Arabidopsis thaliana: one gene and its partner. The protein of the gene in region 1 interacts with the protein of each later gene in a pairwise test. Each region holds a gene or a part of one and is shown on either strand. Other genes may lie near its edges.

Evidence for each region.
Region 2: the proteins of AT1G80780 (region 1) and HLS1 interact in binary tests that used the Arabidopsis thaliana proteins (3 or more experiments, as listed by UniProt).

Annotation. Positions count from the first base shown.
Region 1 is NC_003070.9:30,356,130-30,360,295, forward strand, and holds AT1G80780 (Polynucleotidyl transferase, ribonuclease H-like superfamily protein), read left to right. Parts: upstream 1-2,032; 5' UTR 2,033-2,166; exon of another isoform or gene 2,167-2,249; 5' UTR 2,250-2,387; coding exon 2,388-3,195; coding exon of another isoform or gene 3,196-3,212; exon of another isoform or gene 3,213-3,401; coding exon 3,402-3,454; 3' UTR 3,455-3,477; downstream 3,478-4,166. Other genes in the region: PDE318 (P-loop containing nucleoside triphosphate hydrolases superfamily protein), read left to right, coding at 1-14, 88-162, 350-460, 540-653, 732-803, 882-918, 1,015-1,127, 1,277-1,483 and 1 more; FDM5 (XH/XS domain-containing protein), read left to right, coding at 4,151-4,166.
Region 2 is NC_003075.7:17,656,811-17,661,583, reverse strand, and holds HLS1 (Acyl-CoA N-acyltransferases (NAT) superfamily protein), read right to left. Parts: upstream 2,991-4,773; 5' UTR 2,653-2,990; coding exon 2,491-2,652; intron 2,203-2,490; exon of another isoform or gene 2,150-2,202; coding exon 1,974-2,149; intron 1,894-1,973; coding exon 1,020-1,893; 3' UTR 706-1,019; downstream 1-705. UniProt on the Arabidopsis thaliana protein: Ethylene-responsive N-acetyltransferase required for differential cell elongation in the hypocotyl. Regulates apical hook formation of dark-grown seedlings. May control differential cell growth by regulating auxin activity.

The DNA of each region.
Region 1 (4,166 bases):
GAAAGTATGAAGAGGTATCTATTTTTAAGTAATTCAGCATCTTAGCCTGCAACTGATTTTAGCAAAGGCTTATAGATAAGTTTTTAGGTGTTAGGAAAAGTTGATGTTCTGAGGAAGAAGGTGCAATCTGTTGGAAAGGAACATGCTTCTCTCTGCGCCAAGGTCAGACTCCTCAGTTCCGTCAAAAGCATATTGTGTCTTACATTTTAGTTAATCCCATATACTGTAGATTGTGATTGGTACTACATCAGTAAAGGCCTTATAAGCTTCATACCGATCCCATTTTTTTCATCTTATTCTATCATATATCAGTGTAGGAAAAGTTAAACATCTTTCAATTTCGTTGCAGGCTTTGTCAAAGAAGGAGGCAGAGGAACGCTTGAGCGAAGGTGTGGAGAAGCTGGAATTGGTTTTCCAACAACAAGGGGGAGCTGTTGATGATTTGCTAACTATAGCGAAGGTTCCTTACTAGAATCTTTTGTTTGTCTCTTCCAGTGTTATCAGAATTGTATGTATGAACAGAGTTACGCACTTTGCAGGTTTTGAGGGCTATGCCAGTTGTTGACTTGGAAATGCCGACTCTTTGCCTTGTCGGAGCACCAAACGTTGGGAAGTCATCATTGGTTCGCATACTGTCAACAGGGAAGCCTGAGGTCTGCCTTATGTACCAATCTTTATATATGTGATAATAACTTGCATTGTCTAATGCTTATGGTTTTTTCGGTTGTCAGATTTGCAATTATCCTTTCACAACCAGAGGAATTCTGATGGGTCACATCGTTTTAAACTACCAACGATTTCAGGTTGCGTTGCTTACTTCGCTGCGTCTAATCACTTTCCTCATGATATAGATTATTGAATCATCCAGAAACGCATTGCAGGTTACAGACACCCCTGGCCTTCTTAGGAGATGCGATGGTAAAGTCTAGTTGCTACGAACTCTCATGTGGATGAATAACTATATGATATTTGATTAAGTCTTGATTCTTGTATTTTTTTATTTGGTAATTACAGAGGATAGGAATAATCTAGAGAAGTTAACTCTTGCTGTACTCACTCATCTTCCAACCGCGGTTCTATATGTTCATGATCTAACGGGAGAATGTGGGACTTCTCCTTCTGATCAGGTATATAGTAAGAAACAAATCCTTATGGATTTCGTTGCATCAGATGTGTCAAAGGAAAGCACAAGAATGTGCACCGTTATCTGATTTGCCGAATAATTGGGTCTGATATATCCTGATTCAGTTATATGTTTGTTGTGAGGGCATTGCAGTTTCAAATATATAAAGAGATGAAAGAGAGGTTTAAGGATTACCTGTGGATTGATGCTGTGTCCAAATGCGATCTGCTGGGAGGCTCACCGGTGATGTATGCCAAAGAAGATAGAAGCAGTGATGACGCGGAAATCATTAAGTACCGGGAAAGAGGACCTGATGAATCAATTCATGTCTCGGTGAAAACAGAACAAGGTCTCAATGAGGTATGAAACTTACCAGAAATATTTAATGTGGAAAGAAAGCAAGAGTGTGTTTTGAGTGGTCTGTTTCTCTACATGGCTCTGCAGCTAAAGAACAAAGTGAAGGAAGTACTGAGTAGTGAGATGGAGAAGATCCAAAGTGGAGAGAAAACTGATCAAAGTGTTGCTACTTGCTAGTGCTTAGCTAGAGATTTTTTGCCCATTTTAGCATTTTGACATTAATGTCTCATTTGTTTTTAATATACTTAAATAGGATTAAAATCTTAATGCATTATATATACATAGCTATTTCTCTCCTCCCTTGTTAGTAGTGGATTTGGTACGCATATATATATATACATATATAAGTTTTAGCAATAATGCAGGATTAGATTGTTTTTAAAAAAAGAGAAAAATGTTGCCAAAGGAAAATTGTGACGCACAAAAAAAGGAACGATCCTGAAATTGTCAGAAGTAGACAGAAACAAGAAAACTTGTGGAGAACAATAAAATATCGGATTCAGAACAGAGATTAAAAAAAAATATTAAAAAAATAGAAATCGATAAGTAATAATAATATTATCTCTTCTTCTCTGCTTCCATTTTGGGTATCGATAAACCACCACATCCTTCCCTGAAACCCTAACCACAACAATCGCCGCCGTCTCTAGAAATATCCATCCACCTACTTCGGCTTTGTTTATCAGGTTCGATATATCTATCACCACCGCCTTCTTATCTCAATTTCTGTGTTTGATTTTTGCTTTGTTGGTGTTTGATTTTACCGCAGATTTTGATGAAACCAGATCGGGTCTTCCTCTAGATCCGTTCTAGGTTTTCTATTTCCACCGTCTTATCATTATCATCATCATCAATTCATCATCATCATCAATAATCCAGATGCTCACCAAATTCGTCATTCATAGACATGTCTCTGTTTCTGAAAGACGATTCGATTCAAATTCGCGAAGTCTGGAACGATAACCTTCAAGAAGAAATGGATCTGATCCGAGATGTCGTCGACGACTTCCCTTACGTCGCCATGGACACTGAGTTCCCCGGCATCGTCGTCCGACCTGTCGGAACTTTCAAATCCAACGCTGATTACCACTACGAAACCTTGAAGACGAACGTCAACATCCTCAAGATGATCCAGCTTGGCCTCACTTTCTCCAATGAACAAGGCAACCTCCCTACCTGTGGCACTGACAAGTATTGCATCTGGCAATTCAATTTCCGAGAATTCGATCTCGATTCCGATATCTTCGCTCTCGATTCCATCGAGCTTCTCAAGCAATCAGGCATCGACCTTGCCAAAAACACGCTAGACGGGATCGATTCCAAGAGATTCGCAGAGCTCTTAATGTCCTCCGGGATCGTCTTGAACGAAAACGTGCATTGGGTTACATTCCACAGTGGGTACGATTTCGGATACTTGCTAAAGCTCTTGACTTGCCAAAACCTGCCGGATTCGCAAACAGACTTCTTCAAGCTCATCAACGTTTATTTTCCGACCGTGTACGACATTAAACACCTGATGAAGTTCTGCAACAGCCTTCACGGTGGTCTCAACAAGCTTGCGGAGTTGCTGGAAGTGGAGAGAGTTGGGATCTGTCACCAAGCTGGTTCGGATAGTTTACTCACGTCTTGTACTTTCAGAAAGCTCAAGGAGAATTTCTTCGTTGGTCCGTTGCACAAATATTCTGGTGTTTTGTATGGATTAGGTGTTGAAAATGGTCAGGTTGCTATCTAGCAAAAAATTAAATAAAAAATTTCCTGAAAACTATTTTCTCTCTTTTTCCATTATAAGAATGCATCATCAGACACTTATAACTCCACAAAATGTAGGATCTAAATTCAAAATAATTTAATGAAACATGAAAATGAAGAGGTATGATCACAATTGTCTGAAAGTTGAACTGTTTTGTGTCTGAAAATAAAGAGGCGAATGGGAAAAATGTTAGTTACCGTATGGATATGGTTGCGTGGGCCTAATATAAGGCCCACTGTTGCTATTGGATAGGGCCATTAAATTGCAATCAGCGTTTAGTTGGTATTATTGAATCTCAAGCCTCTTCTTCGCGCAAGCTTCGGTCATCATCATCTGAGGTTAGTGACTTGACACTCTTCTTCTCCGACGATTCTGAGGTTCATTTTCGTGACATACGGGGTTTCTATGTGATTACTGAGAACTTTGCCTTTCGCGCCGGTTCTCGTTGATTTTTTTTTTCGATTTAGGTATTTCCATGTGAGACTAACATTTGTGGCTCGTTTACTCGCAGATCAAAGGGACAGAGAACGTGTCTGGGTAAGTTTTAATGGTGTTTCTGGGTTATTGCTCTTATTTCCTAGTTGCGAATCTGCTGATTTGGTGAAGGATATAGCGTTCTAGGTTTTTTTAACTTGGTGTCTGTGATAGTAAACGCATTTACTAGTTATTGTCAAGATTTTGATTACTTACATCGTTGTGACCATCATTTCGATTGGTCTTCATATGTGCTTTTGCCTGTTCATTTATCTAATGGTTCTCTTTGTTTTGTTTGGCATAATAAAAGTCCAACTCTTAGTTGCTTAATTTCTTCTATTCTAACATGACTCTTAGAATTCTCACTACAGAACCTGTTTTGTTTCTTAAATCTGTTTTTCGTCAACTAATCCTATAAATCTGGTGATTACAGGCCACCTACTAGGATGGATAACAGTTCTG
Region 2 (4,773 bases), on another chromosome or scaffold:
GCCAACAAATGCAAGATGTAATTATAGAAACTCACGACACTAGAAAACAAACCTAGGGTCAACATACACACATGTATACCAATCGTTATAACAGAAATGATAAATCTAATCCACAAACACAAAGTATCACTCCTCGATCGAAGTTATCCACATGTCTTATTATGTGATGGTCAAGACCTTATAGTATAAACAATTTCCCTGACTCGATCGGTGCTCTCGACTCGACAATACCTCTTTCGGACAAGGACACGTTCTCAAACCCGATTCAAAGGTTTCATCATGATATAGCTTTTGCTACCGCAAACCAACAAAAGAAACATATAAATCTATCAGTTGAACATCTTTGGACCATATTTGGGGGAAAAAGTGTGGTCCATGACATTGATATTCATGTCATTTACACGTAAGATTAGCGATATCAAAAGAAGTTTTTATTCTCCAATCACTATCAAATATCAATGATCAAACTCGAATTAGCAAAGTACTAAGAACCAAAATCCTCCACCTAAAAAGAACTACTAAACTAATATACATAATATTTTATTTACTCTTAAGAAAATGTGCGTCTTTCTCTTAGTTTATACTTGATGGCACACACGATAATGCTAATCGTTATTGGTAACATTTTCTATCATTGTCATAATTGTAATTTTATCTCCAAAGTATCGTCTTAACACAAATTGCATCATTATACGTATCAGTGCGTTCATGAAATTTTATCTACTTGGAAATAATAATCAGGTCGGCGTTTTGGTTTGGCCACAAAGAAAAAGTATCTTAAAAAGCTAGATCCATTTACAAGACAAGAAGACACAAACCCAAAAGTAGGAGATATTACCTCTTACCACTAATTTATAACACCCACAAAAACAAAACAAAACAAAACAAAAAGCAAAAAAAGTTACCTAAAAAAAAAGATTAATTCTAAAACAAGAAAATCTATAAACTTAGAAGAAAACCCCTAATTTAACATCAAGTGGTTAATAGAGAATATATATTATAGAGTTAAAAAAAAAGTTTTAAAATTCTCTAGGGTCTACAAAAATGGAAACGCCAGGTGGCGATTTAGTCCAATCACCAACAACACCATCACTATAGTCATCTCCAAGCCGCTTTATACACCAAAGATCCTCGTCACACGATAGCACTTTCCAATGTGGTATTCCTCGCCGCAACGGGTCTTCTCCGGCAACTTCCGCCGCCACGACACCACAACCACCTGCCTTAGCCAAGTTATGCGCGTGAGCACACAAGGATTTCACCATCTTCACCGCGCGTGGACCTTCTCCTCCGATTCCATACATAAAATGAAGTCCAAAAGGTTCGAAAACGGACGGTATCGAAGGTAGTTTCAGAAACGGCAACGTTTTATCAACTACTCGCGTCGTTTTAGCCACCACACGTCTCAATCTCGACGCTCCACGTACTTCTAACAGAAACGAGTCTTTACAATTCCACACGCTTAATACGGCCCATGACTCGGGTGGATATTCGAGGAATTTAGCCGAACCGGGCCATGATCCAGACCCGGATCCATAACAGCTTCCACGTGGCACCGCGACGAAAGTCCCAAGCGAGAGTTTGTTATTAAGTACCGAATCAATATCCCGCGGGAAAAACTCTGTTGTGCTAAACCGGATTCGGTACAACGTCTCAGCATCAACCGGCTCTAACTTGATAACCGTGACTCGCCGCGAAACATTAACTCGATGAGCGTAAACCGGGTTAACCAAAATCGACGGTGTACGAAACTCCGAATAACCACATTTCCCGGTGAACAAATTCACAGAAGCTTGATTATCGTTCTCAGTTGCAATATACGAATACTCAGCTCCGTTTTGTCTAAACCATTCCTCCATCATCTTCACGAGCTTAAACCCAATCCCTTGTCTCCTGCAAAAACCAAAACTAGTTTAGATAACCAAAATCTATAATAGCGTGTGATTATGAGTGGGAGGAAAACGGAAGGGTACCTGTGAAAAGGAGAGACGCGAAGGCCCAAGACGTAAGCGAGTTTAGTGTAAAGAGGCTTAACGACATCGTTTTGAGATTTGTGATTTAAATCGAGTTTTTGGCCACATGTAACGGTTTTGATACATCCTCTAATCATGCCCACTATCTCCTTCTTCTCCGTACCCATCTCAGCCACCTGTTACAGTCCCATAATTTAAATTTTCCGTTATTATATGTTTTTAACCTTTTATAATAAAGAGGAAACTTTATTAGTTATAGTTACTCGGGTATCATTTGGTTGCAAAAAATAATATAAATGATGAGTCTTTTGATCTTATCAAGAATCGGAAAAAAATAGAAATGATACCAAAAAAAGAACCGAACTTTAATTGTTTATGGAAAATGGGTTTTTTGGATTAACCAAAGGTTGAGAAGTTGGTGTTCTATGTTTTCTACTTCTAGGTTCAAAAAACAAACAGAGTTTTTGAAGAGACATACAAGTAAAAGAAGATAAAAGATTGTGAAACATGTTATTACCAGCATGAGATAGGAAGGTGAATGTCGGATTCTACAAATCGGGTCACCCAAAAGGTCGGTGAAAAGAGAAAGCTTGCCGCTTGGTCCGACTTCACACCGTCGTTCCACGTCCTCCACGCCGACTAAGTCTCGGGTCGGGTCGTACTCTCTAACCACCGTCATGTTTTGGTTCTTTCAGAGTGAGAACAGAAGCAGAGTAAATAGAGAGAGAGATTAGAGTTAGAAGAAGAGTTAAGTAGATAGGGTTTAATATATAGAGAGGAAGGTGAGTGTGGAAATGAGAGAAGTGAGGAAGATTTGTTCGAGAGGAAAGAGAAGCATTTATAGAAACTCTATATATATGTATAACGTGAGGTATAAGTAAAGAACAGAGAAAGCTATGAGTTTATAGGATTTGGATTTTAAAGGAAAGAGAAATAGACTTTTTATTTTATTTTTCCGGCTACTTTTTTACTATTTATGATGAGTTTTAAAAGTTGGAGAAGGCGAGTAGTTCATGATTGATAGAGCTTTAAAAGTTCTTCTTCTCAATCCTCTATTTATAGTCTCTAGTCTCTACAGTTCCCATTTTATTTTTTGTATATATGAATTTAAATATTAGCTAGTTCTAAATGATAAGGTAGAATTCTAACCAGATTTTAACTGATCATTGAATGCTTTTTTTACTTTTATGTGTTAAGAGGAAAAATAGTAAAGAATTTATATTCCTACCATATTTGCTGCTTGGAAATTGGAACAAAAATGTTTTTGCTACAAAATCGAATGATTTAAATTGTGTTGGTCACACTTTTTAGTTTACTACAAACTACACATAATGTTCAAAAAAAGAAGAAATATAAATAGATTTTGTTGAAAAAAAGAAATTTGTATGTTCTTACATGCAGTGGCGCTATCTATTTTCAAAATTTTATGTTCTGTAAAATAATGTTAATTCTCTTTTTTTTTTTTTTTTGACAGCTAATGTAAATTCTCTTTAATACAATAAATATGAAATTAAATCTCTTATAATTAGGGACATTTAAATGTTTTTCACGAATAAATACTCCTAGTAAATTTTGAAATAGTGGGCTTCAACGTATTAATGATGAGTAGAGATTAATGGTGATTAAGACGAGCATTGATGTGGAAAACTTGCCCAGAAGGAGAAGTTGTAAGTGGGAGTGAGAAGTTGAAAATGGCGGCTATGTCTGCGTTAACTCATTATTATGGTTTCTATCTCTCTTTTCGTTTTCCTCTTACTTGTACTGTATTTATTTCCCTTTCTACTACTAGTTCCCTTCCTTTGCCCATAAATTCACACTTATTAAATTCCACATCATCACTCTGATGCATTGCACCATCTCCCAAGTAATCATTTGCCCTCAACCCCATCTATATACTACATTAACTGTCTATCTACCAAATTACTAGTAAATGTAAATACAGCAGCTCTAATTTTGCAAGAGGAAAAAAAAAACAGTAACGTAAAATAAGAGTTGAGAGAGAAAGTAAATTGTGTATAATTAGTTTTTAACATTTTCCGAAAAATACAGAAAAAATATCTTACTAGAAATAACTGCAATGTTCAAATTCACTACGAGGCTAAAAAGAAGCGAAGGAATCCATTTAGAAGAAAAAAACAAATTCCTAAAGGTCATGTCTATCGTATTCCTCTTTTAAGGGTAGTTTAGTCATGCAATACATGATGATATATATGACAAATGATTATATGTACGTTTTATATATACATAAGTATATACATATATACATATACATGACACTTCATTAGGTGTGAAAGATCATCAACATAATCACCAATTAGTTAATTAAACTCAAAAGCCGAAATATCAACCGTCAGCTAATTGTTTTGTTTTAGTAAGAAAATTTGTTTTATTGTAGACGAAATTCGAATTACAATAATCTTTGTTGACAAAAAAAAACCCTTGTTTACTGGTGTAATTTGGAAACAATAAGCCTCAAGCCCTCAAATGACCTTTTAGGGTCAGAATTCTTCTCGAAGAACAATTTTCATAAATAGTTCCACTTGATATTTGATTGTGTATTAAGTGGAAACTAAGCAAGAAACACCATCACACGCACAAATATTAAACAATCATAAACACAAAAATAAACGGCACACTTGACGTGGCCCCTCAAAATATATAACATATAGTTCAGGTTGGTAGGTGATTTATTTTGTACTGATTATGACATTGTCGAGCACTATTATATACTCCATCAGAAGAATTAAAATCAATATTAAAAATAGATTATTATTCTAACTAGTAGTTAGGAACATAGGAT